Linked DNA regions of Stegostoma tigrinum. The protein of the gene in region 1 interacts with the protein of each later gene in a pairwise test. Links are inferred from orthologs where the notes say so. Each region holds a gene or a part of one and is shown in the gene's direction. Other genes may lie near its edges. The genes, in order: ubiquitin-conjugating enzyme E2 U-like, trim32 and E3 ubiquitin-protein ligase RNF144B-like.

Region 1 (10,503 bases):
CAATGTTCCAGCAAAAAAGTGTAAATAGACGGCCAATATGACCTTAAAGTAGAAACTGTGGGTGCGGTAGGGAAGGGTAAAACATCCCCACAGTGGGGAACAAAACAGCAGACTAACATCTGTCGTGGCGGGTTCAACTACATGGAAAAATATGAAAAAAGTTACAGAAAAGGAAGACTCAGGAGAAGTTGTTAAAGTCTCCAGCACTGACACAGATAGGACAGAATGTTTGGAGAGGGCTAGGGATCAAACTTCAAGCACAATGGATAAACGAGTGACAATGAGAAGAGGGACGGCTAGGACTGGATTGAAGGTGTTATATGTGAATGCACGTAGTACAAGAAATAAGGTAAATAAGCTTGTGTTGCAGATCGAAATTGGCAGGTATGATGTGGTGGGCATCATGGAGACATGGCTGCAAGGGGATCAGGATTGAGTGCTGAATATCCAGGGATATACATTCTTTGGAAAAGATAGACAGGCAGAGGGGGAGAGGTTGCCTTATTAGTAAGAAATGAACTCAAATCAATAGTAAGAAACAAAGAAGGATCAGATGATGTAGAATCTGTGTGGGTAGAGCTGAGGAAACACAAGTGAAAAAAACATAGATGGAATTATGTACAGGCCTCTGTACAATCATCAGGAGCTGAAGCACATTATACACCAGGAGATAGAAAGGGTGTGTAAGAAAGGCAAAGTTACGGTGATCATGGGGGATTTCAGTGTGCAGGTGGACTGGGAAAATCCGATTGGTAGTGGATTGCAAGAAAAGGAATTTGTGGAATGTTTATAAGATGGCTTTTTGGAGCAGTTCGTGGTGGAGCCCACTAGGAAACAGGCAATACTGGATTTAATGTTGTACAATGAGGCAGACTTGATAATGGGGCTTAAGATGAAGGAACCTTGAGGAGGCAGTGTTCGTGATATGATTGAGTTTCCTCTGCAATTTGAGAGGGAGAAGTTAGAATCGGAGGTAATGATATTACAGCTGAATAAAGGCAACTGCAGAGGCATGAGAGAGGAGCTGGGCAGAATAGACTGGGAGAGGAGCCTAGCAGGAAAGACAGTGGAACAGCATTGGCAGGAGTATTTAGGAGTATTTCAGGAGACACAGCAAATATTCATGCCGAGGGAAATGACGCATGGTACAGGGGTGATGAGGTAACTGTGACTGACTATGGAAGTCAGGGAGATCGTAAAAGCAAAAGAAAAAGCATGTAATGTGGTGAAAGGCAGTGGGAAACCAGAGGACTTGGAAACTTATAAAGACCAACAGAGGGCAACAAAAAAAGAAATAAAGAGAGAGAAGATTAAATATGAGGATAATCTAACCAGTAAAATAAAAGAGGACTGTAGAGTTTCTTTAGGGCAAAAGAGAGGCGAAATTGGACATTGGACTGCTGGAAAATGCACTGGAGAGATAGCAGTGGGGAAAAAGGAAATGGCTGAGGAACTGAATAATTACTTTGCGTCAGTCTTAACAGTGGAAGTTACAAGTGATAGCTCAAAAATTTAAGAGAGTCGGGGGCAGAGTTGAGTATGGTGGCCATTACCAAGGAGAAAGCACTAGAAAAACTGAATGGCTTGAAAGTGGATAAATCATCACGCCCACATGGATTACACCCCCGAGTTCTGAAGGAGACAGCTGAAGTGATAGTGGAGGCATGAATGGTGATCTTACAGGAATCGCTAGAGTCCGGAAAGGTCCCAGAGGACTGAAAAATTGTAAACATGACAACCCTGTTTAAAAATGGAGTAAGACAAAAGAGTGAAAATTACAGGCAGATTGGCCTAACCTGGGTAAGATTTTGGAATCCATTGTGAAGGATGAGATTTCTGAATATTTGGATGTGTATAGTAAAGTAGGGTATAGTAAGCGTGGTTTCATCAAGGGGAGGTCATGCCTGACAAATCTGCTGCATTATTTGAGGAAATAACAAGCAGGTTAGACCATGGAGAACCAATGGATGTTATCTATCTGAACTTCCAGAAGGCCTTTGACGAGGTGCCACACAGGAGGCTGCTGGGTAAGATAAGGGCCGATGGTGTTAGAGGCAAGGTGCTAACATGGATAGAAGACTGGCTGCCTGGCAGAAAGCAGAGAGTGGTGATAAAGGGATCTTTCTCAGGATGGCAGCTGGTGACAAATGGAGTTCCGCAAGGGTTAGTGTTGGGACCACAACTTTTCACTTTATACATTAATAATCTAGATGAAGGAACTGTGGATATTCTGGCTAAATTTGCAGATGATACAAAGGTAGATGGAGGGACAGGTAGTAGTGAGGAGGTGGGGAGGCAGCAGAAAGATTTGGACAAGTTGGGAGAGTGGGCAAAGAAGTGGCAGATGGAATATAACATGGGAAAGTGTGACGTCATGCACTTTGGTAAGAAGCATAGAAACATGGACTATTTTATAAATGAGGAGAAAATTCAGAAGTCTGAAGTGCAGAGAGACTTGGGAGTTTTAGTCCAGGTTTCTCTCAAGGTAAACTTGCACGTTGAGTCAGTTGTCAGGAAGACAAATGCAACTTTGGCATTTATTTTGACAGGACTTGGATGTACCACCAAGGCTTTATAAGGCTCTGGTCAGGCCACATTTGGAGTACTGTGTATAGTTTTGGGTCCCGTATCTCAGGAAGGGTATACTGGCTCTGGAGTGGGTTCAGAGGAGGTTCATGCGAATGGTCCCAGAAATGGAAAGTTTGAGGACTCTGGTCTATACTCGATGGAGTTTAGAAAGACGAGGGGGGATCCAGTTGAAACTCATAGAATAGTGAATGGCCTGGACAAGTGGATGTTGGGAAAATGCTTCCATTGGTAGGAGAGACTACGACCCGAGGGCACAGCCTTAGAGTAAAGGGAAGATCTTTTAGAATGAGACAAGGAGAAATTTCTTCAACCAGAGAGTGGTGAATCTGTGGAATTCACTGCGACAGAAGCCAATGGAGGCCAGGTCACTGAGTACATTTAAGACTAAGATAGATGGGTTCCTGATTATCAAGGTCTTCAATGGTTATGGGGAGAAAGCAGGAGAATGGGGATGAGGAACTTATCAGCCATGATTGAATGGCAGAACAGACTCGATGGGCTGAATGGCCTAATTTCTGCTCCTATGTCTTATGGACTTATGGTCTAAACCATAGGCCTCTCTGTTACCTGAGCTTCCACACTGAAGGCCACATTTAGCCAACTGCATGTTTCTCTTTCTTCCAAAGAATTAACTCACACTATCCACAGTCATTATGATATGTGGTAAAGGCCTCAGGCCTGCACCCTTGCACATACATCTGAATGAATTTCTTGAGCTTGACTCAATGCTTAGCTCTTCTTCTCTCACCTTTGCTTCTTTGCAGAATTTCCACATTTTGCAAAGGATCATTTTTTAAACCCATTTTCAAAACTCTCATTCCACCAAGACCCTATGCTCCAGCCTCTTAACCTTTCCAGATCTTTTTGAGATCTGGCAGCATGACATTTACTATCTCAATTTCTTTGCTCCCCTCACTCACTTTCAAATATATCCATCTAAAAGCAAAATATTCAAACACTGGAAATCTGAAATTTAATAAAAAGGTGCTGGGAAAACACAATAGATCTGGCAGCATCTAAGTGAGAGAATCAGATTTAACATTTTGAGTCTGTTTATAATGGTCTTCAGAACTGGAAGGGAAGGGAATACAAAATATAGCCTCTTGGACTCAAAATTGATTCCACAACTTCAGAGTTTTACCCTTGTCCTGTATTTTTTTCCTTAAATCCCTTTTCCCCTATTCAGCCTTATCTTTTTTATTATGAAAACAGACATTACTGTCAAAACTCAGCAGGTTTGGCAGTATCAATTAACCTGCTGACAGACCTGCGGAGTTTTGCCAGCAATTCCTGTTTTAGTTTCTTTGTTTTATTTTTCTGTCATTACTGTGCATTGTTAACATTGTTCTCAGCTGGTCGCAGCGATTTCCTCATTTGCATACCTTAATTTACACCCACTTAAAATCTCTATTTGTTTTCCAGCATTATTTGTCTTTTGCTTTGGCACTGTCACCATTTATGTGTTCCTCCTCCCACTCCGTCGACGCCATAAAGACTCTCATTTTCCAACCACTTTGGAAGAATGCTCTACTTTGTCTTTTTCTCCAGGAAGTTATACCAATTGTATCAATTAATCAACGTATCAATTCCAAATACTGCCGTCCCACCAACTGGAAAATTTCATTAATTTTTGTTTCCGTTTTCATCAAATTTGTGGGACGGATGATAATAATATCCCTGGCAAGGCCCAGATTAATGGACTTGGGACACTAGTTTGAACTCCTTTATGACAGCCGTTGAAGTTTGAATTTTGTTAAATTCAAACCTGGACAAATGATATCCATGAAGCCATTGTCAATGTGCTTGACAATCTCACTCACGAATGTCCCTTATGGAAGGAAATCTGCTATCCTTACCTTTTCTAGCCTTACAGACTCTTAAATGTCTTCTGAAAAAGCTCAGCAAGTTATTCAGGATTTCTAGCCACAGTGACAGAAATAGCTGAAGAAACTCAGCAGGTCTGGCAGCATCTATGGTGAAAAAGCAGAATTATCAATTCTCGTCAAGTGATCTTTCTTCAGAGCTGATTGTCGCTGGGAAAAATTTGGTAACTATGCTGAAGATGGGGTGGGGGCAGTGGGAAGAAGTAAAGGATAGCTGCAGATGGAACCCAGAGAGAGAAAAACTGTCAGACAGGCACAGGAATGGTTAAAGGTCAGCCTAGGAGAATGAATAGCTGATAATGGGGGACTGTTAGTAGTTGACATTTGGTTGGTCATGGTAGCAGCTCATGTTGGTCTAGTATGTGTGGGGTTTGGAGTAAGGACATGGGAGAAGATGCTCAGGCCCTGAAATTTTTGAACTTAATATTGGTCCCAAAGGCTGCAGGGCCCCCATGCGGAAATTGCGACACTGTTCTTCCAGCTTGCATTGAGCTTAGCTGGAGCACTGCAGCAAGCCTGAGACGGAGACATTGGCCAGGGAACACGGTGTTGCATTCAAGTGGCAGATAACAGAAAGCTCTGGGTCATTTTTGCAGACAGAACGTAGGTGTTCCACAAAGTGGTTGCCCAGTGTCTGTTTCACCTCCCCAATGTGGAGTAGATCATAGATGCTGCCAAACCTGCTGAGTTTAACCAGCAATTTTAGTTTTTTTTTGATGTCCAGGATCCTCAGTTCTTTGGCATTTTTTTTGTTCAGGTTTTCCGGCAGTTCAGTACAATTAAGTAAAGCAATTAAGTAAATTAAACCCACAGGGACTGCACTAATAGAAGGCAGCTCACCACCATATTCTGCAGAGTCAAGCAAGGATGTGCTATAAATGCTGGCTTAGCCTTACAAATACATCTTCTGACTGAATAAAACATGAATAAATAAGGAGGGATAAGCAATAACAAGGTGTAGAGCTGGATGAACACAGCAGGCGAAGCAGCATCAGAGGAGCAGGAAGGCTGACGTTTCGGGCCTAGACCCTCCTTCAGAAAACTTTTCTGAAGAAGACCCTTTTCTGAAGAAGGGTCTGGGCCCAAAACATCAGCTTTGCTGCTCTTCTGATGCTGCTTGGCCAGCTGTGTTCATCCAGCTCTACAATTTGTTATCTCAGGTTCTCCAGCATCTGCAGTTCCTACTGTCTCTGAAACAATAAACAGGCATTGCCTTAATATTACCTACTTTAGCTCATTGCCTATTTCAGGTATACTTGACTTCAAGGCCATAGCAACGACCCTTCTCATCCAAGGCTTATCTAACTGAAATTTATTACTTTGTTTGATGACACTAGCCAAAGTTAAAGTTCACAGATGACAACATGAAACAATATTGTAAAACAAAGAAGTACGGATGCTGAAGATCTGAAACAAAATTGTGGAGAAATTCAGCAGATCTGGCAGTATCTGTGGAGAGAGAAGCAGAGTTAGCATTTCGAAGCCAGTGACCCTCCTTCCTCACTGGACTTGAAACGTTAACTCTTATTTTCTCCTGATCCACAGAAGTTCAACACCTGCAGAGTTCTGTGGCAATTTCTATTTTTATTTCGACAATACTGCGTTTGCTATCTGAATTCTCGGGTTATGATAGATGATGTGAAGATGGGATTGGTGGGGAGTTTTTTTTAAATTTTATATTAATTTTTTGAGAGGAATTCAGAGCAAGGTTAGAATGAGTTGCGGACAGGAAGATGGAATTGAGGGACTTTGCCCTGTTTGGCATTCTGTTGCAATGACAGTGTGGGACCAGCAGGGGGCGCGGGGAGCATCGCCCCAGCCCTCGTTACCAGGCAACTAGCAACACTTTAGGTGGCAGGCGAGCTGCTGGAAATGGAGTGGGGATCCCTGTCAGTTTCCCAAGGTATTTATTGTCGTGAAACTTTAAAGCTTCGTTCATTTTTGTCATTCACTCTCTGAAGGAAGTGGATTTCTTTGAATATTATCTTTAGTAAAGTTGTATTAAGTGTTGGCGGATCCCTGTGAAGATCCAGAAGGCAGTGAACAGACTGGACTTGGAACCAGGAAAGGAGACAATTCACCCGGAAATCAGAAACTGGGGAAGGCAGCAGCTCAGGTCCGATTGGTCCTTCATCATCCTGCAATAATACCCTCTAACTGCAGTTAGTATCCCCAAACCACATCTCCCTCCCCATGGCTCACTTACCCCTCATCGTCCTTTAACCCCCATCACACCCTTAACTCTCCCATAACCCCCTTATCCACCCTATCACCTCCCCATCACCCCCTTAACCCCCATCGTCGCCATATCCATCCTATCACCACTCCCCCCGTATTCGCCCTGTCACCCTATCACCCCCATCACCCCCTTATCTGCCCCATCACCCCCTTATCTGCCCTATCACCCCCAACACCTCCTTAACCCCAATCACCTTCTTAACCCCCATCAGCCCTTTAATCTTCCCCATCATTCTAATCCTGTTATCATTCGAAACCCTCTCATCATGCACTAATCCCTCTCATTCACCCCAAATCTTTTGTCACCCTGAACACTCTTGTCACCCCCAATGCTTTATCATCCTGTAGTCCCCACGTCATCCCTTCATCATTCACTAACCCCACATCCTGCCCAAACACTCCATTACTCCTAGGTCCTATGATTGCCTCCAACTATCCCTTAACACCCTTGCTGTATCTTGTTATCCCCTCACTACACTGTGATTCCCCCACACTATCTCTGAAATTCTCCTTTTACACTAATTTTGCTCATTTCCCTCTAAATACCTGTCAGTACCTCTGGTATCTAGTACACCTCCTCACCCCTAAAACAGCCCTCAATACCTCAGTACTCCCTGCAATGTTCTCTAAATTTTATACTACCTTTTACTCTATCAATCCCCCACACCCATGCTTCAATCACCCCCTTTAATATCTGCTAATTAAACCCACCCTCAATATGCCTGCACCACCTCCAAATCCCCATGAACAGTTTTAATACCCCCCATACACAGTCTCAAATCTCTGTTCCTGCCAATAGAAGCCCAATGTGTGCTTCTGATGACTTCCTTTAGCTTAAAAACTCCCCGCTGCAAGACTCAGGCAATCAAACACTACACTCATCTCAATATCCCTGTACTTAACCATTGTTACCCTTTTTGTCTAACTTCAACTGAATGTTCCCTTTCATCCAATATCAGTGGCTGCAACATCTCCCTCCTTTCATGCTCCTATACTATTGACAGTGCCTTCTATACCTGCCCTCAGTCTATTAACCCAACATTTATCTTCATGACCCTACAACTGCTTTAGCTCAACGCCTCTACATTTCTCCTTTTTAACATCTCCTGTCAGCTCAATACCCCTTGTACCATCCCTCACCTTAGATTTCAGTTGTAATAGAAACTTGCTGTTGAAATGTAAGTGAATTACTTGTGTCATATTGTGTGGTGTAAAACCTTGGAACATAATCTTGAAGCTGCTTTTTAAATGTAATTGATAGAGGCCTCAAAAATGGGAAGTGGTGACCAACAAAATTCTCAAGGTTTGGTTTTTACTTCATTTGTGAGATGTGGGCTTTGCCAGCTGAGCCATCATTTATTGCCCATCCCTAATTGCTCTTGAGAAGGTGATTGTGAGCTGCCTTTTTGAACCATTAAAACCATTACAACCCTCAGGACGTAGTGACATCCATAGTTCAGTTAGGAAGGATTTTTGATCCAGTGACAGGATAGGAATGATGATATAATTCCAAGTCAAGATGGTGTGTGACTTAGAGGAGAACTTATAGTTGGGTTGTTCCCATGGATCTGCAGCCACTGCCTTTCGAGTACTATAGGTCACAGGTTTGGGAAGTGCTGTTAGAAGAGTCTTAGTGGTTTATTGCACTGCATTTCATAGATGGTGAAATGTTGAAAGTGGTGGATAGGGTGCCAATCAATTGGGTTGCTTTATTCTCAGTGGCATGAAACTTCTTTAGTGTTTTTGGAGCTGTACACATCCAGACAACAGTCCACCACACTCTTGACTTGAGCCTTATAGATGGTGGACAAACTTTGGCGGGTTGGGAGGTCAGTTACTTGCTGCAGAACTCCGAGCCTCTAGCCTGAAGGTGAGAAAAGAAAGGGGACAAATATACAATGATTAAAAATAATCTTATCCCAGAATATCATTCAAAGTAGGAAATGAAAATAATCTAATGTTAACATCATACAGTATAATTTCATATTAATTTTGATGACATAACTCATGTCAATCAAAACACGATGAGCACTTAGTGGAAAATATTAAGCAGAATAACTTCTTACTATTGGATAACCAAGTTTCCACAAAAGTTCAAATGGCCATCTTGCCATTTTATATCGAATCACTTTTCTTTTTGTTATTTCCCATAATAACTGACTGACTGATACTGTTTCATTAACGTATTAATTGTATTTTGTTCATTTAATATAAATATTGTATAATATTAAATTGCACTTTCTGGTTTGTTTGACACCACAAAGGTGGAGGAAATATTCAGTGCCATATTTTATACTGACATGATTAAGGAGATTATTCATTTGGTGAGTCATTTTGCTGCAAGGCCATGCAATCCAAGGCATACTTATTACTGGAAAGAGAACATGCTAAACTTCAAGAAACTAGACTCTTTGTAAGTAAGTCTGAATATTTTGCAATATTAGTCGACCTTGTATGACCGGAAATACTGCACTTTCACACAGACTGCCTTTCCTCAGTTTCTCCCTCAATTTGACAGCAAATCTGGGGTCAGAGCAAAGTGATTTGACCCCTTTCTGATTGATCTCATCAGTCATTTTCCTGCTTTGGATTTCCATATTTGGTCAACTTGAACTTTTGAAGCATTGATCACAGACATACCTGCTTTCTTTTTCTTGCCCAATAACTGTTTCTGTTTAATTTCCAGTCTCAAATTATTTTTGTTACCCACTCTCCCTTTCAGTTTCACTAATATTATGTCATGTTATTTCACTGTTGCCTTTGTATTCCTGCTTGCCTTGTTCTTTTTCTTCCTCCTACTTGATTTCTTAAATCTTCCCTTCCCTCTGCCACCCTATTATTAGACCTCATACACTTTGTATCCCCTGAGACTGGCTTCGCCACAGAGTGTTTTATGGTTATATGATGAATGAGTTAAGTGAATTGTTTGGTTTTGTGGTGGTTGGTATTTTTAAATTGTTTGTATTTAAGTAAGTATAAAAATGTTGAGCCAGTCTGTACAAAATGATGATAATTGTTTGACCATCTCAGTGAAATTTAAGCCAGTGAACATTCTGTATGTGAAATTTAAGCAATCTAATATTTGTTGCCATGCAGACTGCCAGTTCATTTTTCCATGTTTTACAATTAGGGACTGGAGACAAAATGTTTAAAACGTAGGTGTGGTAATGAATAATTTATCTGATAAGCAGGAATTTATATTTAACTGATAAATAGGATTTCCAAGGTGTACAAGTGCACTTCTTTTCTGCCTGTTTAACTTTGTTTTCCTGAAGAGAACGATTCATGTTCTGGTACAGTGGTGTGGGTAACAGCATCTATTCAAGTGAGCCAGGATGGTAGAGTCATAGACTCCCTACAGTAGAAAAAGAGGCCATTGAATCTGCACTAAACCTCCAAACCCAGTCTCCATCCTATCCCCTCAGGCTAATCTGCCTAGCCCGCACATCTTTGGACACCACAGGGCAATTTAGCATGGCCAATCTACCTAACATGCTCATCTTTGGACTGTGGGAGGAAACCCAGAGCACCCAGCAGAAACCCACGCAAACACAGGGAAAACATGCAAACTCTAGACAGACAGTGATCCCAGGCTGGAATTGAACCTGGGTTGCTGGCACTGTTAGGCACTAGTGCTAACCACTGAGCCACCATGCCACAGAATTGGTAGATTATTTTACTGTGGAAGCCTGGATATCCTTGCTCACTGCTGAACTAGGTTGCTGAATGTTACATGGAATCTAGAGATGGGAGGAGGGCTTCTAATGAATATGTATCTTTAAAGTTACACAGT
Region 2 (11,018 bases), on another chromosome or scaffold:
GTGCATGGCACTGATGGGGGTTGAGGCTGGATAGGGAGTGTGGGAGGAGAGGGTGGGAGTCTTGGTAGAGAACACCGAGACGGATCTACTCAAGAATCTAATTTACAGCAGTAGTAGCTGTCGTCCCAAGTGAAATTGTGGAATAGGTGAGCAGTGAGCAGAAAGCTATCTGTAGAATTTTTGCAAAGCTGCCTGTGGAGGACTGTAAGATTTTGCCCTCTGATTTCAGAATAAGGTTAAGCTTGTTTATCAGACTATTGTGAAAAATGCAAGTTTATTCATCAGGGTAGAAATTTAGGACAACATTTGTAGGAGCTAAATACTCAATGACTCAATGCTTATCAGAAGAACCTCTGTTCACAACCTAACCACTTAAGGGATATGAATAATTAACATTCTAATTGCCTAACTATTGAGAAAGAACTACAATAATTGTTACAGAGGACTTTATTTCTTTCTTGACTCGAGAATTGGACAGGAATGATGCTTCTTTATATTCTTGCCAGTTTCTGTTTTGGTTGATCTTTTCCATGTTGAGGAACTGAAACCTGGTCCAAAATGTTAAATGTCGAAATGACATTTCAACAGGCCTCAAAAGTTATTGGAATAAGCTACAAGAGATTCCACCCTTTTGTTCCCTCTGTAATTTAACTGAAATAGAAACTATTGTATTTTCTGCATTTCAGCTTCAATGTAAGACTTGCTTTGAAATGCATTAATTGTTATCTTGAGCCTGAATGCAATGGCCCAATAATTTCTCATTCGGCGTTTCTCAAAATGCAAAGAATTTGTGTAATAGTTCCAAAAGCAAAGTACAGAGAGACATGCATAATTGCTAGTCCTGTGACAATCCACTTTGTGCATAAGGTTGAAACAAAACACAGAATGACCATCATTAAATTGAAATCAACAAATGCTGGAGATCACAGCACATCAGGCAGCATCCATTAAATCGTTCAAGCAACTGCAGTGCCCCAGTTAAGAACAGAAATCATAGTGGTCAAAGGATCATTTGAGTTTAGACCGAAGAGGATGAATTTAGTAGTTTAACATAAACAATGTTGATTCAGCTTCCTGATACGCATTTCTTTTTAAAGTTTCTTCACACCTGGCCTTCTCTCTGGGGATAGTGAGAAGTGGTGAAAGAATTCTGGGACTGTTTACCAACTTGTAAATCCATGTCATGAGCACTCGTTATGGGTCCAACAACTCCTGGCTTAGACCTTGCACCTGGAGATACTGATATTAGACCAGAAGACCATAAGACATAGCAGTGGAAGTAAGGCCATTCGGCCCATCAAGTCCACTCCGCCGTTTAAATCATGGCTGATGGGCATTTCAACACCACTTCCCTGCACTCTCCCCGTAGCCCTTGATTCCTTTTGATATCAAGAATTTGTTGATCTCTGCCTTGAAGGCATCCAATGTCCCAGCCTCCACTGCACTCTGCAGAAATGAATTCCACAAGCCCACCAATCTCTGGCTGAAGAAATGTCGTCTCATTTCAGTTTTAAATTTACCTCCTCTAATTTTAAAGCTGTGCCTACGGGTCCTAGTTTCCCCGCCAAACTGAAACAACTTCTGAGCGTCCACCCCTTCTAAATCACACATTATCTTGTAAGTTTCTATTAGATCTCCCCGCAACCTTCTAAACTCTAATGAGTACAATCCTAGGATCCTTAGCTGTTCATCATACGTTAAACCTACCATTCCAGGGATCATCCATGTGAATCATTGCAGGACAAGCTCCAGGGCTAGTATGTCCTTCCTGAGGTGTGGGGCCCAAAATTGGACACAGTATTCTAAATGGGGCCTAACTAGAGCCTTATAAAGCCTCAGAAGCACATTGCTGCTTTTATATTCCAACCCTCTTGAGATAAACGACAACATTACATTCGCTTTCTTAATTACGGACTCTACCTGCAAGTTAACCGAGAGAAAATCCTGGGCCAACACTCCCAGATCCCTTTGCACTTCTGATTTGTAAATTTTCTCACCGTTTAGAAAATAGTCCATGCCTGTATTCTTTTTTCCAAAGTGCAAAACCTCACATTTACTCACATTGAATTTCATCAGCCATTTCCTGGATCACTCTCCTAAAAAGTCTAAATCTTTCTGCAGCTTCCCCACCTCCTCAGTACTACTTGCCTGTCCACCTATCTTCGTATCATCAGCAAACTTCGCCAGAATGCCCCCGTTCCCTTCATCCAGATCATTAACGTATAACGTGAACAGCTGCGGCCTCAACACTGAACCTTGCAGGACGCCACTCGTCACCAGTTGCCATTCCGAAAAAGAGCTTTTTATCCCAACTCTCTGCCTTCTGTCAGACAGCCAATCCTCAATCCAAGCCAGTAGCTCACCTCGAACACCATGGGCCCTCACCTTGCTCAGCAGCCTTCCGTGAGGCACCGTATCAAAGGCCTTTTGGAAGTCTAGATAGATAACATCTACTGGGTTTCCCTGGTCTAACATACTTGTTACACCTTCAAAGAATTCTAACAGGTTTGTCAGGCACGACCTCCCCTTACTAAATCCATGCTGACTTGTTCTAATCTGACCCTGCACTTCTAGGAATTTAGAAATCTCATCTTTGACAATGGATTCTAGAATTTTACCAACTACCAAGGTTCGGCTAATCAGCCTGTAATTTTCCATCTTTTGCCTTAATCCCTTCTTAAACAAGGGAGTTAAAACAGCAATTTTCCAATCATCTGGGACTTTCCCTGACTCCAGTGACTTTTGAAAGATCACAACCAAAGCCTCCGCTATTTCCTCAGCCACCTCCCTCAGAACTCTAGGATGTAGCCCATCAGGGCCAGGAGATTTATCAATTTTTAGACCCTTCAGCTTTTCTAGCACTTTCTCTTTTGTAATGCCTACCGTACTCAACTCTGCCCCCTGACTCTCCCTAATTGTTGGCATACTACTTATGTCTTCCACTGTGAAGACTGACGCAAAGTACTTATTAAGTTCTTCAGCTATTTCCTTATCTTCCATCACTAGCCTTCTAGCATCAATTTGGAGCAGCCCAATATCTACTTTTCCCACTCGTTTGTTTCTTGTGTATTGAAAGAAGCTTTTACTGTCATTTCTAGTATTACTAGCTAGCCTACCTTCATATTTGATCCTCTCCTTCCTTATTGCTCTCTTTGTTATCCTCTGTTTGTTTTTGTAGCCTTCCCAATCTTCTGATTTCCCAGTGCTCTTGGCCACTTTATAGGCTGTCTCTTTTTCTTTGATATATTTCCTGACTTCCTTTGTCAGCCATGGCTGTCTAATCCCAACCCGGATAATCTTTCTTTTCTTTGGGATGAACCTCTGTACTGTGTCCTCAATTACACCCAGAAACTCCTGCCATTGTTGGTCTACTGTCTTCCCCGCTGAGCTCTGCTTCCAGTCGATTTTCGTCAATTCCTCTCTCATGCCCCTGTAATTACCTTTATTTAACTGTAACACCATTACGTCCAATTTTGCCTTCTCTCTTTCAAACTGCAGACTGAACTCTACCATATTATGATTGCTGCCTCCTAAGTGTTCCCTTTCTTTAAGGTCTTTTATAAAGTCTGGCTCATATTAAAACTGTATCACACGACATCTTCAATATACAGTAAGTCAATGGAATTAAAAACAATGGGTGCCTAAATCAATGCCATCTGTTTTACACTAACAACCAAAGCCACCCTCTGCTTCGGAGTACCCATCAAAAATCTACCTCGCCTTGACACATTGTTTTTTTTCCATATTGTCTGCACCATGATTATTAACACTTCAAAATTTAACTGAGACACAAGGGAAAACAAAAGCATGGAGCTGCAGTTAATGCCAATATCCTGATTACAACACTTGGTCTGAAACAGATCTTTATAGCTGAATGATTTATTGATCTAATTGTAATGATTGGACCGAGGTTAACCAGGTGGACCTCATAGAATACGAGTTCCATGATTGGGGCTGTTAACCTGGTCCAATCAGGGACCCCTGGCTGATACTAAGAACATAAGTGTCAGACTGTTCACTCTGAGAGCTGGCTCTGAGGAAGCTGGATCAGTGCCAAGAATTCTCCATGTGTAAACGAAAGGCAACTTGGTGTTGGGATACCATCTGCATGGAGTTATTTCACTAATATCTCATCATGCAAGTATGACTTCTTCGATCAAGGGATTTACTTGATTTTTACAGAGTGCTTGATAAGATCGCACATAATAAACATAATAAACTAGTCCTTAAATGATGAAAATCAAACAATTCATTGATCATGAGACAGTAGGAACTGCCAATGCTGGAGAATCTGCGATAACACGGTGTAACACTAGATGAACACAGCAGGCCAAGCAGCATCAGACCGTAATTCATAGATCATGGAGCTCTTTTGTGTGAAAGGCTTTTTTCCCGATTTCGATAAACCATTTTAATAACTTGTCTTTAAATACTGGATTTTCAATCTTACGGTGTCATTGAAGGGCTTTATTCCTGAAATCTTCCATATTAGTTCAAAAAATAAGTTAAATCTGGTATAGAAATATTAACACATTCAGGCAAAGAATACAAATAAATAATAACTAAGCAATTACCCAAATATGGCAATATTCTGAACAATGTAATCTGAAACAAAAACTATTAAAGTTCCCATTAGTAGATCAGAAATCAGGTGCCTAGCAATGTTCCATCACCTTAATAATAATGCATCAATAGCTAACACTCTGAAGATACTGTCCAGTTTTACTCACACCGTTAACACAGAAATAAGGCTCCAGTCAGTCTCCATAGAATACTTACAGTGTGGAAACAGGTCCTTTAGCCCAAGACGTCCACACTGCAACTCAGAGCATCCCGCCAATCCCTACATAACCCACTTAATCAACAAATCCCCAAACACAATGGGCAATTTAGCATGGCCAATCCATCTAGCATGCACATCTTTGAACTGTGGGAAGAAACTCACGCAGACACAGGGAGAATGTGCAAACTCCAAACAGTCACCCAAGGGTGGAATCGAACTCAGGCCCCTAGTGCTGTGAGGCAGCAGTGCTAACCACTGAGTCACTGTGCTGTCTCGATGTACCATCTCAAAACAAGCATTTTGAGTATTAAGCAAAATCTTCACATTTAGCTATCAGATCTGGTTCACTTCCTTTCCTGATGTCCAGTTAATATCTAATCACACAGAGCTCATCTATTCTTTACTCCTGTTTTTTTATCGTATTGTGCCAAAGACTTGTGTGGACTTAATATTATTCAGGAATAGGAAAAGTTAACAAACCTGTCTCTTTTTAATCTATCAGCTCATTATTGTGTCTCCAAACCAAAATTTTTCCGACAGATCAAATAGTCACCCAACACAGTTTTACCAACTATTTCAAAGATCCTGCCTTGCAATTGTTTCCATAAACCTAATAGGCCAAAATTTGTGGACTGAAGTAGGAACACAGGAATTAGGATCAAGAATAAGCCATTCAGCCCTTTAAGCTGGATCTGTCATTTGCCAAGATCGCAAGATGTGGCCTCAACTAAACTTCATTCCTGTTCCCCAATACCCTCAACTCCCTTATCTAAAGCAACTGGGGCAGACAGGAAAATGGATGGAGTTCACAGCACTTACAGTCATTCAATTGCAAAGATTTACTCCAGTGGTTTTAGAGAGCAATGTGTTGTTGTAAAAAGAAATATTGGTTGGCATGTTCCAGACACACATGCTCATCCCCAACCACCACAAAATTCAGGCCAGTTTCTTTTAGGTGAAAAAGATTCCCTGACTTCCCTTATGATACATTTTTCAATGTTTTTTTTTATTTGTGGTCTGATATTTGAATTTGTTGCCACGTTAACAGCTTGCTTGGATTCCTTTTTGAATGCCTTCCATCTGCTTGAAGAATCCAAACAGATCTCATTAGGCCAAGCAGCATCTCAGGAGCACAAAAGCTGACGTTTCGGGCCCATCAGCTTTTGTGCTCCTGAGATGTTGCTTGGCCTGCTGTGTTCATCCAGCTTCACACTTTATTATCTTGGATTCTCCAGCATCTGCAGTTCCCATTATCTCAGATCTCATTAGGCTTTCTTCTCTTCTGAAGAATGCCAAATTTCTTACTATTTCTAATTGACTGGATCCAAGATCCAGAGGAATACACATCAATCATGTTCTTCATTTACACTGAGACAAGTAGCTTTACCAGTACCGTATTCCCATAGCAGAAAAGTTTTTCCATGTATTCGGAAACTGTTTCCTAAGCACTGAACAATGTTCTGTACAAGCTGCACAATTGTACACCAGTATCACAACTCAAAACTTCCCACGGGGGATGTGCTCACGTTATTCCTTTGTTTTTACTTTCAAAACGGACTCGGGCCACACTTCAAAACAAGTACCTAATAGTCTACAGTGTTGGTGGGGATGTATAAGAACTTGGCGATAACCAGTGATTGTGAAAATGCAAGTTCTTTTTTTTTCAAAAAATGCAAAAATAGTGGAATATACTTTGCAGTACGATTTTGCAGAACGAGTATGCTTTTATTTAGGTTTCGGCATCGATGGTCAAGCAGTGCGATTTTGCAAAACGTGTACGCTTCATTTATCACTGGGATATCGCTACGGCACGGATACAACAGCGCTAAATCGTTTGGAAATAAAAGGCAAGGAACTTGGCAGAGTGAAAAATAGTAATGATCCACCTTCATAAACATGCACATTTTATATCTCATAAGTACAAGTAAAATAATGACACTCATTATTGCACACAATCCTACCGAAGGGGAAATAAAACAACTTCAACGGGGCGGGGAAATTTTGGTTTGCAACACACTTCGGCGCAACTGCGCACGCGCGTTGTCTTCCCGGGCTGGATACCCTGGAAGGAGAGGTGCGGATTTTGATTGACAGCGGGGGAGAGCCAATCAGTTTCACGTGTGCTCCATCGTTGGCGGAGGACGACAAATGCAGTCGGGCGCGGGGCGGGTGACGTCACAACGGGGCCTGGAAGCTGCCGGGCGAGCGTGAAGTCTGCGACAGGAAGAGCGCGGGCGTGCGCGCGCACGCAGGGGTCGGCGGATGACAGGCGAGCGCCGCACTGCAGGCGCGGGGTCTGCTTCCAGGGCCGCCCCGCACCCCCTTCCCCTAACGATCAAGACAAGAACCTGAAGGACTGAGCCAGCGGTAAATGTCTTCACTTGCTTTTTTCTTAAAAAAAATGTTTCTATATATAGTGCGTTGGTAGACCGCTGCGTTTTTGAAATTTGATCCGAGGCCGGTTTTGTTTGTCTTTCGGATTCCTCGCCGAAGCCTAATAGCTCGACCCTTAGGCTTAGAAGCGTCTGGACAAGCAGTGTTCCTCAAATCTATCCCCCCTATAAATCTAAGCTCCCCGACCCCGTCAAATCCAACCCACCCATATGAATCTAACCCCCTCAAATCCAACCCAATCCCCTCAAATCCAACCCACCCCTATAAATCTAACCCCCTCAAATCCAACCCACCCCTATAAATCTAACCCCCTCAAATCCAACCCACCCCTATAAATCTAACCCCCTCAAATTCAACCCACCCCGATAAATCTAACCCCCTCAAATCCAACCCACCCCTATAAATCTAACCCCCTCAAATCCAACCCAATCCCCTCAAATCCAACCCACCCCTATAAATCTAACCCCCTCAAATCCAACCCACCCCTATGAATCTAACCCCCTCAAATCCAACCCACCCCTATGAATCTAACCCCCTCAAATCCAACCCACCCCTATGAATCTAACCCCCTCAAATCCAACCCACCCCTATGAATCTAACCCCCTCAAATCCAACCCACCCCTATGAATCTAACCCCCTCAAATCCAACCCACCCCTATGAATCTAACCCCCTCAAATCCAACCCACCCCTATGAATCTAACCCCCTCAAATCCAACCCACCCCTATGAATCTAACCCCCTCAAATCCAACCCACCCCTATGAATCTAACCCCCTCAAATCCAACCCACCCCTATGAATCTAACCCCCTCAAATCCAACCCACCCCTATGAATCTAACCCCCTCAAATCCAACCCACCCCTATGAATCTAACCCCCTCAAATCCAACCCACCCCTATGAATCTAACCCCCTCAAATCCAACCCACCCCTATGAATCTAACCCCCTCAAATCCAACCCACCCCTATGAATCTAACCCCCTCAAATCCAACCCACCCCTATGAATCTAACCCCCTCAAATCCAACCCACCCCTATGAATCTAACCCCCTCAAATCCAACCCACCCCTATGAATCTAACCCCCTCAAATCCAACCCACCCCTATGAATCTAACCCCCTCAAATCCAACCCACCCCTATGAATCTAACCCCCTCAAATCCAACCCACCCCTATGAATCTAACCCCCTCAAATCCAACCCACCCCTATGAATCTAACCCCCTCAAATCCAACCCACCCCTATGAATCTAACCCCCTCAAATCCAACCCACCCCTATGAATCTAACCCCCTCAAATCCAACCCACCCCTATGAATCTAACCCCCTCAAATCCAACCCACCCCTATGAATCTAACCCCCTCAAATCCAACCCACCCCTATGAATCTAACCCCCTCAAATCCAACCCACCCCTATGAATCTAACCCCCTCAAATCCAACCCACCCCTATGAATCTAACCCCCTCAAATCCAACCCACCCCTATGAATCTAACCCCCTCAAATCCAACCCACCCCTATGAATCTAACCCCCTCAAATCCAACCCACCCCTATGAATCTAACCCCCTCAAATCCAACCCACCCCTATGAATCTAACCCCCTCAAATCCAACCCACCCCTATGAATCTAACCCCCTCAAATCCAACCCACCCCTATGAATCTAACCCCCTCAAATCCAACCCACCCCTATGAATCTAACCCCCTCAAATCCAACCCACCCCTATGAATCTAACCCCCTCAAATCCAACCCACCCCTATGAATCTAACCCCCTCAAATCCAACCCACCCCTATGAATCTAACCCCCTCAAATCCAACCCACCCCTATGAATCTAACCCCCTCAAATCCAACCCACCCCTATGAATCTAACCCCCTCAAATCCAACCCACCCCTATGAATCTAACCCCCTCAAATCCAACCCACCCCTATGAATCTAACCCCCTCAAATCCAACCCACCCCTATGAATCTAACCCCCTCAAATCCAACCCACCCCTATGAATCTAACCCCCTCAAATCCAACCCACCCCTATGAATCTAACCCCCTCAAATCCAACCCACCCCTATGAATCTAACCCCCTCAAATCCAACCCACCCCTATGAATCTAACCCCCTCAAATCCAACCCACCCCTATGAATCTAACCCCCTCAAATCCAACCCACCCCTATGAATCTAACCCCCTCAAATCCAACCCACCCCTATGAATCTAACCCCCTCAAATCCAACCCACCCCTATGAATCTAACCCCCTCAAATCCAACCCACCCCTATGAATCTAACCCCCTCAAATCCAACCCACCCCTATGAATCTAACCCCCTCAAATCCAACCCACCCCTATGAATCTAACCCCCTCAAATCCAACCCACCCCTATGAATCTAACCCCCTCAAATCCAACCCACCCCTATGAATCTAACCCCCTCAAATCCAACCCACCCCTATGAATCTAACCCCCTCAAATCCAACCCACCCCTATGAATCTAACCCCCTCAAATCCAACCCACCCCTATGAATCTAACCCCCTCAAATCCAACCCACCCCTATGAATCTAACCCCCTCAAATCCAACCCACCCCTATGAATCTAACCCCCTCAAATCCAACCCACCCCTATGAATCTAACCCCCTCAAATCCAACCCACCCCTATGAATCTAACCCCCTCAAATCCAACCCACCCCTATGAATCTAACCCCCTCAAATCCAACCCACCCCTATGAATCTAACCCCCTCAAATCCAACCCACCCCTATGAATCTAACCCCCTCAAATCCAACCCACCCCTATGAATCTAACCCCCTCAAATCCAACCCACCCCTATGAATCTAACCCCCTCAAATCCAACCCACCCCTATGAATCTAACCCCCTCAAATCCAACCCACCCCTATGAATCTAACCCCCTCAAATCCAACCCACCCCTATGAATCTAACCCCCTCAAATCCAACCCACCCCTATGAATCTAACCCCCTCAAATCCAACCCACCCCTATGAATCTAACCCCCTCAAATCCAACCCACCCCTATGAATCTAACCCCCTCAAATCCAACCCACCCCTATGAATCTAACCCCCTCAAATCCAACCCACCCCTATGAATCTAACCCCCTCAAATCCAACCCACCCCTATGAATCTAACCCCCTCAAATCCAACCCACCCCTATGAATCTAACCCCCTCAAATCCAACCCACCCCTATGAATCTAACCCCCTCAAATCCAACCCACCCCTATGAATCTAACCCCCTCAAATCCAACCCACCCCTATGAATCTAACCCCCTCAAATCCAACCCACCCCTATGAATCTAACCCCCTCAAATCCAACCCACCCCTATGAATCTAACCCCCTCAAATCCAACCCACCCCTATGAATCTAACCCCCTCAAATCCAACCCACCCCTATGAATCTAACCCCCTCAAATCCAACCCACCCCTATGAATCTAACCCCCTCAAATCCAACCCACCCCTATGAATCTAACCCCCTCAAATCCAACCCACCCCTATGAATCTAACCCCCTCAAATCCAACCCACCCCTATGAATCTAACCCCCTCAAATCCAACCCACCCCTATGAATCTAACCCCCTCAAATCCAACCCACCCCTATGAATCTAACCCCCTCAAATCCAACCCACCCCTATGAATCTAACCCCCTCAAATCCAACCCACCCCTATGAATCTAACCCCCTCAAATCCAACCCACCCCTATGAATCTAACCCCCTCAAATCCAACCCACCCCTATGAATCTAACCCCCTCAAATCCAACCCACCCCTATGAATCTAACCCCCTCAAATCCAACCCACCTCTATGAATCTAACCCCCTCAAAACCAACCCAACCCCACCCCCTCAAATCCAACCCAAC
Region 3 (10,912 bases), on another chromosome or scaffold:
GGGTTAGAGTTCACACTCTAACCCTAATCCTAACCAACTCCGTCAAAGCCATACAACTTTAGAGAGATTTTCAGCAATTGTCCCTGCTTCCTATCGCTAAATGTGTACTGTATTCTTGCACAGCAGCAAGAGGAAGTAACAAGCAAACTCTTCAATCACTGCTTGGAGGAATCTGTAAAAAATGCCATCCCTGCAAACCCAAATATAGGACGGGAAACCAAATTACAGGATAATCTTGGAAAATCCAGAATGTTTGGTTAACCTGACAATGCAGAATTTGCAGATTTCAATGAGACTTACCAGCTGACTCCAAACCCATTGAATCAGAGTGGAATTCAGTCATCTCGATCTGAAGGGAATTCCTAAGGAGGAGGAAGAAGAAACGATCCAAAGAGTCTTTTTAGTGCTTGAAGTACTTGTTCTAAAAGGGATACAATTTACTGTAGTAACTTAGTTGGAAGAGAATTACTTTTCTGTTAATTTGGGTAAATTTTTGTTCCTTTATTTAAATTAATAATCATAACATGGAATTTCATCAGCCCTTGAGCATTATGGGCAATGGTGAGCAATTTGGGAGAGTGTGCTGAGGATGAAATAAAATCTGATTCTCAATATCACAACAAACGTACAATATTGCCCTAAAGGTTTCAATGGCTAGATGAGAATCTCACTAGTAAGCAGTGAGGACTTTAGTTCCATGCATTTGCATCTTATTAATAGCTAATCTGGCCTCATTTATATGCAGTTCATGATTCCCTTAGGTACAAGTGATAAATTATATTGTGTCATTTCCCAGCTTGAAAGTCTGAGCGGCTACCTGGCAGATGCAGCTTTCAGCTTGCTTTTCTGGGATTCCATATTCAGCCCCATTTACAAACTCCTAATGGCATGCTCTATGGGCAGCAGCAATCGCCTCCATCCTTTGTCCAACAAAGTCAGAATCAGCAAAATGCCAGTCTCACCATATCACCACCTCAGACAAATTCAGAAGACATTTTAGCTCTACACTATTATATGTTGGAGATCATTGACGCTATATATTGTATTGCTTCTGCCAGGTTCACTTTACGAGCAGGGACACACGTCTATCTCATGCACCTGCACAGAGTGCATCTTAGGTCTTTTAGCTTGTCTTTTTAGTGCTCACTCATTTTGCTCTTATTTGGATGTTCGCAGCATCATTTCTTTGTGTTTTGGCGCATTGCTGCTTCATTCAGTACTTACAGGCTCACATTTTCTCTGGCTTGTCTTGCTTCTTAGGGCAGACAGGAAATTAGGCATCCTGTCACCAGTTTCCACCTCTGACCAGTTGATGGGGTTGACGTATTGACATCCAGCATTGTGCCAAGTCTGTGTCACTCCTACAGCATGTGCCAGCAGCATACATAGCAAACACACTGCATGTACTTCAACCAAATAACCATGTCTCAAAGTCCAAGCGAAGTAGTCCTTAGTCGAGAGGAAGGGGAAGGGGTGTTCTTTGATCAGTTGAGGTCATGGAAAACTTAGTCGAGGGCATCGTCACATCTTAATCTAGGGGAATTGGCCACAGTAAGTCAGACACTTGGTGCAGTCAGGGTCCAAAAATCCCTGTCGTTTTGGTCTGTACTGAGCTACTGTCAGTCCTGCAGGTCAAGTCCAAACACCCTAGAGGGGTTACAGGTAAGTCAGTTGTGGAATGATAGAGGCATTGGTTAGATGGCTGTGCCGTGCTCAATTGTGGCTGTCCTCAAAAGTAAGTCCAAGGGGTGGGCTACAGATAGTCCTGGGTTTGGCCCAATAAACGTCAAGAGGGTTTATCAGGTGAAGTTCTTGCTGTGTCGAGGAAAGTGGGAAACTCAAATGTAGGGCAATAAAATGTGAGGCTGGATGAACACAGCAGGCCAAGCAGCATCCCAGGAGCACAAAAGCTGACGTTTCGGGCCTAGACCCTTCATCAGAGAGGGGGATGGGGAGAGGGAACTGGAATAAATAGGGAGAGAGGGGGAGGCGGACCGAAGATGGAGAGTAAAGAAGATAGGTGGAGAGAGTGTAGGTGGGGAGGTAGGGAGGGGATAGGTCGGTCCAGGGAAGACGGACAGGTCAAGGAGGTGGGATGAGGTTAGTAGGTAGCTGGGGGTGCGGCTTGGGGTGGGAGGAAGGGATGGGTGAGAGGAAGAACCGGTTAGGGAGGCAGAGACAGGTTTGAATGGTTTTGGGATGCAGTGGGTGGGGGGGAAGAGCTGGGCTGGTTGTGTGGTGCAGTGGGGGGAGGGGACGAACTGGGCTGGTTTAGGGATGCAGTAGGGGAAGGGGAGATTTTGAAACTGGTGAAGTCCACATTGATACCATATGGCTGCAGGGTTCCCAGGCGGAATATGAGTTGCTGTTCCTGCAACCTTTGGGTGGCATCATTGTGGCAGTGCAGGAGGCCCATGATGGACATGTCATCTAGAGAATGGGAGGGGGAGTGGAAATGGTTTGCGACTGGGAGGTGCAGTTGTTTGTTGCGAACTGAGCGGAGGTGTTCTGCAAAGCGGTTCCCAAGCCTCCGCTTGGTTTCCCCAATGTAGAGGTAGCCGCACCGGGTATAGTGGATGCAGTATACCACATTGGCAGATGTGCAGGTGAACCTCTGCTTAATGTGGAATGTCATCTTGGGGCCTGGGATGGGGGTGAGGGAGGAGGTGTGGGGACAGGTGTAGCATTTCCTGCGGTTGCAGGGGAAGGTGCCGGGTGTGGTGGGGTTGGAGGGCAGTGTGGAGCGAACAAGGGAGTCACGGAGAGAGTGGTCTCTCCAGAAAGCTGACAGGGGAGGGGATGGAAAAATGTCTTGGGATGTAGGGATTGGAAGTATTATACTGTGATGCAAATAATTAATTTAAAGGAAGGCTACTAAAATTTTAAGTGTGCATGGTTCTCACGGCAATGTGGTAGACCAGATGCTGAAGGAAAATAAGAGATATTCATGAAAAATGTCTGCGGACACATTCACGGTTGTTGGAGAGAGTTAATGGGAACTGCAGATGCTGGAGTATCCTAGATAATAAAGTGTGAAGCTGGATGAACACAGCAGGCCAAGCAGCATCTCAGGAACACAAAAGCTGATGTTTCGGGCCTAGACCCTTCATCAGAGAGGTTGTTGGAGTAAGTTTTTTTTCTCTCTGCTGGGGCAGTGTGGACATGTTTGTTCTACTAGGCAGAATTTGGATGTTAATTGAACAATGATTGTAGGTTCCTTTTTAAGACACTTAGAATGAAAAGAAATGTGCAATCATAAATGATTGTGTAGTCACACACAAGTTTATGTAGAACACGAGTGGAGGCAAGGACCTATTACAAAGTGTTCTCAGTAATTTTGGACTAAGTGAGCTCCTCACTCAAGGTCTTGGCTACACCCACGAACATAAGGGTTGAAGAACATCTGAATTCGATTGCTTACCTCTGAGAAGCATTTCGGATAGCCATGCTTCACCAGTACAACTATCTTCCCTAGGATGTATGAAGAAGCAATTTGTCTTTGACGTGGCTGCCGCACACCCAGGTCGTACAAGTAACATGACAATTGATCAGACATGTGATGATTTAAAATGCATACATTTTAAGATGTGAGAGTGTATTTACATCAGTTTCACCTGTACTACCTATGTATTGAGTTTTCTTTTCCCCCATACTCGCCCATTGCATCTAGTTGCAGTCCTCACGTCCCTATTTGTGGATGGAACCAACTCTACATTGGAGCCTGTTGCCCAGAAAGATTTGAGAGGATGTCCCTCAGGGTGTTTCTTGGTCATAGGCCCATTCGTAGGAGGAGCCTGGAGTGGGACTCATGGCTAATGCAGCGAGGTTTGTGGTTGCGGTAGGTCCTGATTGGGACTCATAGCAATGTCAACAAGGCAGCGGCAGTGGAGCCGGGATCTCCTGGGCATCAGATGGACCAGAAATAGGGACTCACTGCAGCCCGGAGACCCGAATGCCTTACAGAAGCCCCTTAAGAAGAGCTGGGGCCGTGCTTAACAATAAGGACTGTAAGTTTGAACATTATTTCTTATTTTTCTGCATATATATTTCCTCTGTCAATTGATGAGAAGATGAGGCTCTATTTAAGTAATTTCTTCTTAATCATTTTGTAATCCAAAATAGCGCCAGATTGTGGCAACAGAACACTTTTCACTCTAATTTTCCAAATATATGTGACAGTAAAATTATTCATTCAATCCGACACGCCAGGTGTGCTCTGCCCTGATGTAGGCTAACACTTCTCAACTGCAACTTCCACAGTGTTAGGGATCAAGGCAGTGTGAAGATGGAGGGATATGGCATTTGCGAAGTATTCTGAGAGGAGACTTGTGGGAGACCTGTTTGTGGTTCCTCCTTTGCCTGGGTGCCTGCTGCCACCATCCTGTCTTCTTCAGAGGAAGGGGCACCTGAAGTAAGATCAAGGTTCCATATGTCCTTCTCGTCTCTTGTCTTGCTGTTGATGCTGAGCACCTTGGCTGAAGTGATGGAGTGTTGTTTCTCATGTATTTCTGGCTGCCACTGAACATTTTACTGAACCCAGATTTCCATGCTGGTTGCCAACCTGTCCATGGAGGTATCAGATGCACACATGCTGAAGCCAGCACAAAACTGAAGACAGTAGTGGACTAGGATAACAAAGCGTGGAGCTGGATGAACACAGCAGGCCAAGCAGCATCTCAGGAGCATAAAAGCTGACGTTTCGGGCCTAGACTCTTCATCAGAGATGTCTCCAGCATCTGCAGTTCCCATTATCACAGTAGTGGACTACTCCAATTTTTAGTGATAATGGGAACTGTTATCTTGGATTCTCCAGCATCTCAAAGTGTGAAGCTGGATGAACACAGCAGGCCAAGCAGCATCTCAGGAGCACAAAAGCTGACGTTTCGGGCCTAGACCCTTCATCAGAGAGAGGTATGGGGAGAGGGTTCTGTAATAAATAGGGAGAGAGGGGGAGGCGGACCGAAGATGGAGAGAAAAGAAGATAGGTGGAGAGTATGGGTGGGGAGGTAGGGAGGGGATAGGTCAGTCCAGGGAAGACAGACAGGTCAAGGAGGCGGGATGAGGTAGTAGGTAGGAAAAGGAGGGGCGGCTTGAGGTGGGAGGAAGGGATGGGTGAGAGGAAGAACAGGTTAAGGGAGCGGAGACAGGCTGGGCTGGTTTTGAGATGCAGTGGGGGGAGGGGACAAGCTGGGCTGGTTTTGTGATGCAGTGCGGGAAGGGGAGATTTTGAAGCTTGTGAAGTCCACATTGATACCATTGGGCTGCAGGGTTCACATTGATACCATTGGACTGACCCATGCTCTCCCTACCTCCCCCCCTATTATCTCCTCTCCACCTATCTTCTTTACTCTCCATCTTCGGTCCGCCTCCCCCTCTCTCCCTATTTATTCCAGTTCCCTCTCCCCAACCCCCTCTCTGATGAAGGGTCTCTGCCCGAAACGTCAGCTTTTGTGCTCCTGAGATGCTGCTTGGCCTGCTGTGTTCATCCAGCCTCACATTTTATTACTCCAATTTTTAATCCAGTTTACCAAGTGTTTCTAGCAAACATGCCTGCTACTACAGTGACTGGCTATCCATTCGCACACTCATTCATAGCCGACACCGTGGGATAATCTTCAAAGAAGCAGAACTTCACAAAGATATGTTGACAAGTTGTTGGCATTACACGGATAGGTAGCAGGTGATGTTCAATGTGGAAAAGTGTGAAATGCTACACACTGGCACAGAGAACATGGAGAGACTGTGTAAAATAAAGGGTACTATTCTAAAGGGGGTGCAGGCCTACAGCGACCTGGATGTATCTGTGTACACAACAACAACAACAAAAACAAAGTGGCTGAAAAAGCTCAGCGGGTCTGGCAGCATCTGTGAAGGAGAAAACAGTTAACGTTTCAGGTCCGGTGACCTTTCCTCAGAACTGAAATCAGTTCTGATTTACAGCATCCACAGTTCTTTCGGTTTTTATTAGTATCTGTGTACAAATTGTTAAAGGTAGCAGGACAAATAGAGAGAGTTGCTTATAAAGCATACAGTAGTTATGTTTCATTAGCCAGTGCATGGAGTACAAGACCAGGGAGTTTATGCTGAACCTATACAGGAAACTGATTAGATTTCAGATGGAATATTCTGGTGCAGAATAAACTGATTGGGTGAGGGGCTGGCCTCTTTCGGGTTGGGTCTTTGATAGTTACCATATTTTTGTTATTTTTCTTTCCATTGACATTTTTGATATGTATTATCATAAATATTTTGTTAGTACCATTAACCTTTATTCAGGATGTTGACAGTCCCAAACAAGAATTATAACTGGAGTCTGGGATTAGCTTCCCTCATCGAGCAGTTGTTCGCAAAACTGAAGTCTTCTTTATTAATATTTAAATTGCCCACAGAGAAAGGAGGAAGTTCCATGCTCAGTTTCCTGTTTAATCACAAGCCTCCCATGGGTGGAGACAACTTATGACGTGGATGTCTGTTGAGGCAACTTGCTCTAAAAAAGAAAGCTGTTTTGTTTTCAAATTAGTCATTCACGAAACTGTAGTCATGCCAACACATCGTGAAAGCAAACCTACCAAAAACTGAAGCGTCTGTCGCTGGAACGTGCACACTTCTGAAAGCCTTTCGAATCAGCAGAGCTACTCAGAAAACTGCAGCAACTGAAAAGTAGCATCGTGTGCCTGCCTGTGTCTGTGTTTTCCCAGGCACAGGTCGGTTTTCGTACCAGGCTGCACATTAATTTCAGCAGATAAACAACTTCCACTGATCTCAGCTTCTTTCCTTCAGGGCTGAAATTTTCTCCTCAGAGGTATGAAATGTGACAATAAATGTTTGATCCGTTCTAGCTTTATTTGTTTAATTTATTTTAGTTAAAATAGTGCCGTAAGGTTGTTACAGAATTCTATTTGGTTGGTATGGAGTGGGGTATTTTTGTTTATTGTTTGTTTGCGGCACACCTTAGGCGTTGGATTTATAGAAAGCAATAACATAACTATTTAGAAATACCTTTTATATATAAGCTACCTGGTTTTATGCAAGTATGTCTGCTGTAAATAGGAGTTCTTTTGGTAACATTTGAAACAACCTTGTCGCATAACCACTTTTGGAACGCGAACTATTTTGGCAAAACTAAGGTGATTTTTCAAATACCACTCGTTGTTTTATCATTTGATTGGTCTGGAAATAAAAATGTTGATTTTATCTTGTCAAACCTAGCCACATTTCTTATTGGTTTCAAAGTCAAAAGTATTCTGTGGTTTTGGGAGGTGGGTAACTCATTGGCGTTTCTACAGTCTAAAATCAGCAACGCCAATCAACATAGCAGATCAAACTCTCCAAACATTGGCACTTGTTCCTCCTGGATTTGTGTTTCTATGCGTACCTGGAGTGAATCATATGTTCCTTTGTAGTAATGGGTTTAAATACTTTACACTAAAATTTTGATCAGGTCGATAAAGTAATTTAGTGATGACATCTGTTGCTGCTCTTATCTTTTTGGTGTTATTGTTATATGCATGCATAATTTTAAACAACCTTTTTTGGTCTCGGGGGAGTTCTAGCGGATGATGTGTGGCCATCAATGGCTTTTGGTTCTGCTTTTACTGCTGTGAATTTTATGTGGAATTATCATCCACTCTGTGAGGAAGAATAGCCTTCTGCTCCATCCCCTGACAGCTTATTTTGTGCTGCTATGATTTAGTTCCTCCTCCAAAATGTGGCCCTTACAATGGTAAGACAGAGATATGCACTGTGCCTTGTGGCTGATAAAATGGAGACTTGCTGGTGACAGGCTTCCACTGGGTTTTGAGAGAAGGGAACGTAAAGAGGTAAGATGGTGGAGATAGTGGGACTTAGGTAAACAGTGTCCTGTCATTGTAAATATGGCCTGATTTCAATTCTAAAATGAGTAACCTTTTAGACAGTGGCCACACTGTCTGAAATTAGAAGGCATATGTAGAGATTCTTGGTGCTTATGAGATTCAAACCATGCCAAAGAAGAGCACTAACTGTTCCTCTATAACACGGTGGTTGGCAGATAGTTGTTGTGCATCTGGTTTTGTTGCCATAACAAGGGCAGGACAGTCTAATGAGACAATAACTTGACTCTTCTGTCCTGTTCACCAGACTGTTCTATTACTGTAAATCTCTAATAGTGCCTCTATCTTGCTGCTATCAGACAGATCCTTCCTTTTCCAAGTCTCAGAAATTTCCTGTCATTAGAGAGAGAAAAAAGGAAAATTGAGTTTTCAATTTTTGATCATATTGCATAAAATAATTAACAAATAAACCAGAAAGAGACTTGCTTTAATATAGTGCTTTTACATAACCTCATGATGTCTATAAGCATTTTATAGCCAATGGAAAACTTGTGAATTGTAATCACTTCTAACTTTTGCTTTTCACTCCTGGGGAAATATGGGTTAACTAGTTGTCAGGCCAACATTTATTGTCTGTCCCTAACTGTCCTTGAAGGTTGTGTTGAGCTGGTCTTTTGAACAGTTGCAGTGTAGAAGGGAAGGTGAGAAATGTTTAGTGCAGCAATTTAATGAGCTGAAATGTGCTACCTTGAAAAACAGATAGTGGTTACTTTCAAAAGGGAGTGGATAATTACTTGAATGAAAGATTTGCTGGACTTTGTGAAAAGTCAAGGAAGTATGACTAAATTGAGTAGCTCCATTTGAAGCACCGATATGATGAACCAAATGGTTTTCTTCTGAACTGTATGAGATTATACTGCCGGATTACTCAAAAAATGCCGTGTATTGACTCTCAAAATTTAACCAATGGACTATTAAATCCAAATGAAAATAAAGAACAATTGCAGAAAAAGTACATTGCTGTCATCCTCATAGGGGTGGCCATCAAAAATCTTTCTTGTCTTCAGGTTCAGTATACTTTGCTTAATCTAATGCCTTCTATATATTGATAGCAGAGCACTGGTAAATTTGTATAGATTTTGCTTGGGGTAAAATTCAGGACATTGTTTAATGTCAGAATGGCATAGACATGTTCAAGTATTTTATATCCACTGTGTACAATATTCTTCAAGACTGTTGAGGGCTGGGTTTCAATTGGTTTGACAGACTGTAAGGATGTTCAGATTATGAACATGTCTTGCCTTTAGAGTGGATTGAATGTTTTACTGCAGTTTGAGTTTGTTTGGTGGAAAGGAAGATGAGGAGACATATTCTGACCTCTATTTGTAACCCAACCAGGGACAGGAATTAAGATTACAGTAAAAAGAGGCATTTATAGACAGGTACTAAATTAGTAACAGGGCCAAATCTAGCTTTTAAATGACCAAGGGTGTAGAGCTGGATGAGCACATCAGGCCAAGCAGCATCAGAAGAGCAGGAAAGCTGATGTTTCGGGCCTGAACCCTTTAGAAAATTACTATTTCTGAATCAGTTTTAACTGACCAAGTTAATGATCAATCATATCTCAGTTAGATGGCGATTCACAGGTGATCACGTGAGTGATCCTACAGGATTAGCTCCTTTTGGCTTTTCTCCCCTCTCCTCAAGCCCTACCTTTTTTCAGAATCTTGCTGTTCCTGATGAGGAATTGTGAATACTGCTGCCATTGACACCACGTTCATGTTCAGTTGGTCAAGAAGTGCAGCAAGTTCAGAATCCAAAGTTTTTAATCCCTCTTCTCATTCCTCATAGTGTTCTCAGTTTTTAGTCCTTTTTTTCTCTCTTAATTGGGGTTGGGCTAATTGCTATCTTCCCCTGTACAGTCATTCTTCATGTGCAAGCCTGGACAGTAAATGTGGATGATATATTTGGTTTTGGATACTGTAGAGTCACACAACTTTAGCTGAGGCCAAAACCAAGGTATTCCAGTCAGAATGACTGGATAGTGATGAAGAGATTCTAGCTGTTAATGATGACACTGATTGCTGCGCCTTTTTTTATAACCAGCTGACTCACCATTGAGCAGGAATTGACTGTGACAACTTATCTTGGTATCATCATATTCATGTTCGGTGTGATGCAGCAGTTCATTTGGTTCAGCCAGCTCTTGCTAAAGAGTCAGAAAGCAAGTCTGATTGCAATCTTAAGCAATGCATAGTTTGATACATCAATGCACTACTAAGAGGCGTATGCCCCTTTTTTCCCTTTTTACGAGGGGCTTTCTGTTTTTTTCTTCTTGAATAGCTATCTTTAATTCATTGAGCTGGAATCTCATTTGTCTGTTTAATTAGATTTGTTTTATTCGTTCATGGGATGCGGACCATGCTGGCTAGGCCAGCATTTATTGCCCGTCCCTCTAAAAGGTGGTTGTGAGCTGCCTATTTGAACTTTTGCAGTCTGTAGCCACCATTGCCATTTCAAAGGATTTTTATCCAGTGTCACTGACGGAACAGCGATTATATTTACAAGTCAGGATGGTGAATGGCTTGGAGGGAAATTCTTAGGTGATTAGTGTTCCCATGTATCTGCTTATTCTTTGAAACCCACAACCACTAGAAGGTGCTATCTAAGCAGCCTTAATGAACTTCTGCAGTGCATCTTGTAGGTGGCACGCACTGCTACTACTGAGCTTGATGGTGGAGAGAATAAATATTTGTGGCTGTTGTGTTAATGAAGTGGATTGTTTGTCCTGAGTGGTGCCAAATGTCTTGAATATTGTTGGAGTTTCAAGAAGGGTGTATTCCATCACACCCCTGACTTAGGCCTTGTAGTGGAATCAGAGGTGAAATTTTTTTTTGGAGACACCTATTTTCTGACTGGCTTTCATAGACACAGTATTTAAATAACTGGTCCAGTTCAATTTCTGTTCAACAGCAAACCCCAGGGTATTAATAATGGAGGATTTCTGTGCTGATAAGGTTATTGAATGTCAAGAGATGGTGGCCAGACCCTTTCTTATTGGAGATGGTTTGTCTGGCACCAACATGATTTGCCACTTTTCA

Evidence for each region.
Region 2: the proteins of ubiquitin-conjugating enzyme E2 U-like (region 1) and trim32 interact in binary tests that used the Homo sapiens proteins (3 or more experiments, as listed by UniProt). The link is inferred for Stegostoma tigrinum from reciprocal best matches to the Homo sapiens genes UBE2U and TRIM32.
Region 3: the proteins of ubiquitin-conjugating enzyme E2 U-like (region 1) and E3 ubiquitin-protein ligase RNF144B-like interact in a two-hybrid assay, tested with the Homo sapiens proteins (2 studies listed by BioGRID and IntAct). The link is inferred for Stegostoma tigrinum from reciprocal best matches to the Homo sapiens genes UBE2U and RNF144B.

The regions. Positions count from the first base shown.
Region 1 is NC_081361.1:49,099,122-49,109,624, forward strand, and holds the start of ubiquitin-conjugating enzyme E2 U-like, read left to right. Parts: upstream 1-6,293; 5' UTR 6,294-6,344; coding exon of another isoform or gene 6,345-6,375; intron 6,376-8,974; 5' UTR 8,975-9,057; coding exon 9,058-9,123; coding exon of another isoform or gene 9,124-9,127; intron 9,128-10,503. UniProt on the Homo sapiens protein: Catalyzes the covalent attachment of ubiquitin to other proteins.
Region 2 is NC_081382.1:14,831,224-14,842,241, reverse strand, and holds the start of trim32 (E3 ubiquitin-protein ligase TRIM32), read left to right. Parts: upstream 1-6,985; 5' UTR 6,986-7,150; intron 7,151-11,018. UniProt on the Homo sapiens protein: E3 ubiquitin ligase that plays a role in various biological processes including neural stem cell differentiation, innate immunity, inflammatory resonse and autophagy.
Region 3 is NC_081355.1:32,894,060-32,904,971, reverse strand, and holds the start of E3 ubiquitin-protein ligase RNF144B-like, read left to right. Parts: upstream 1-6,449; 5' UTR 6,450-6,802; intron 6,803-10,912.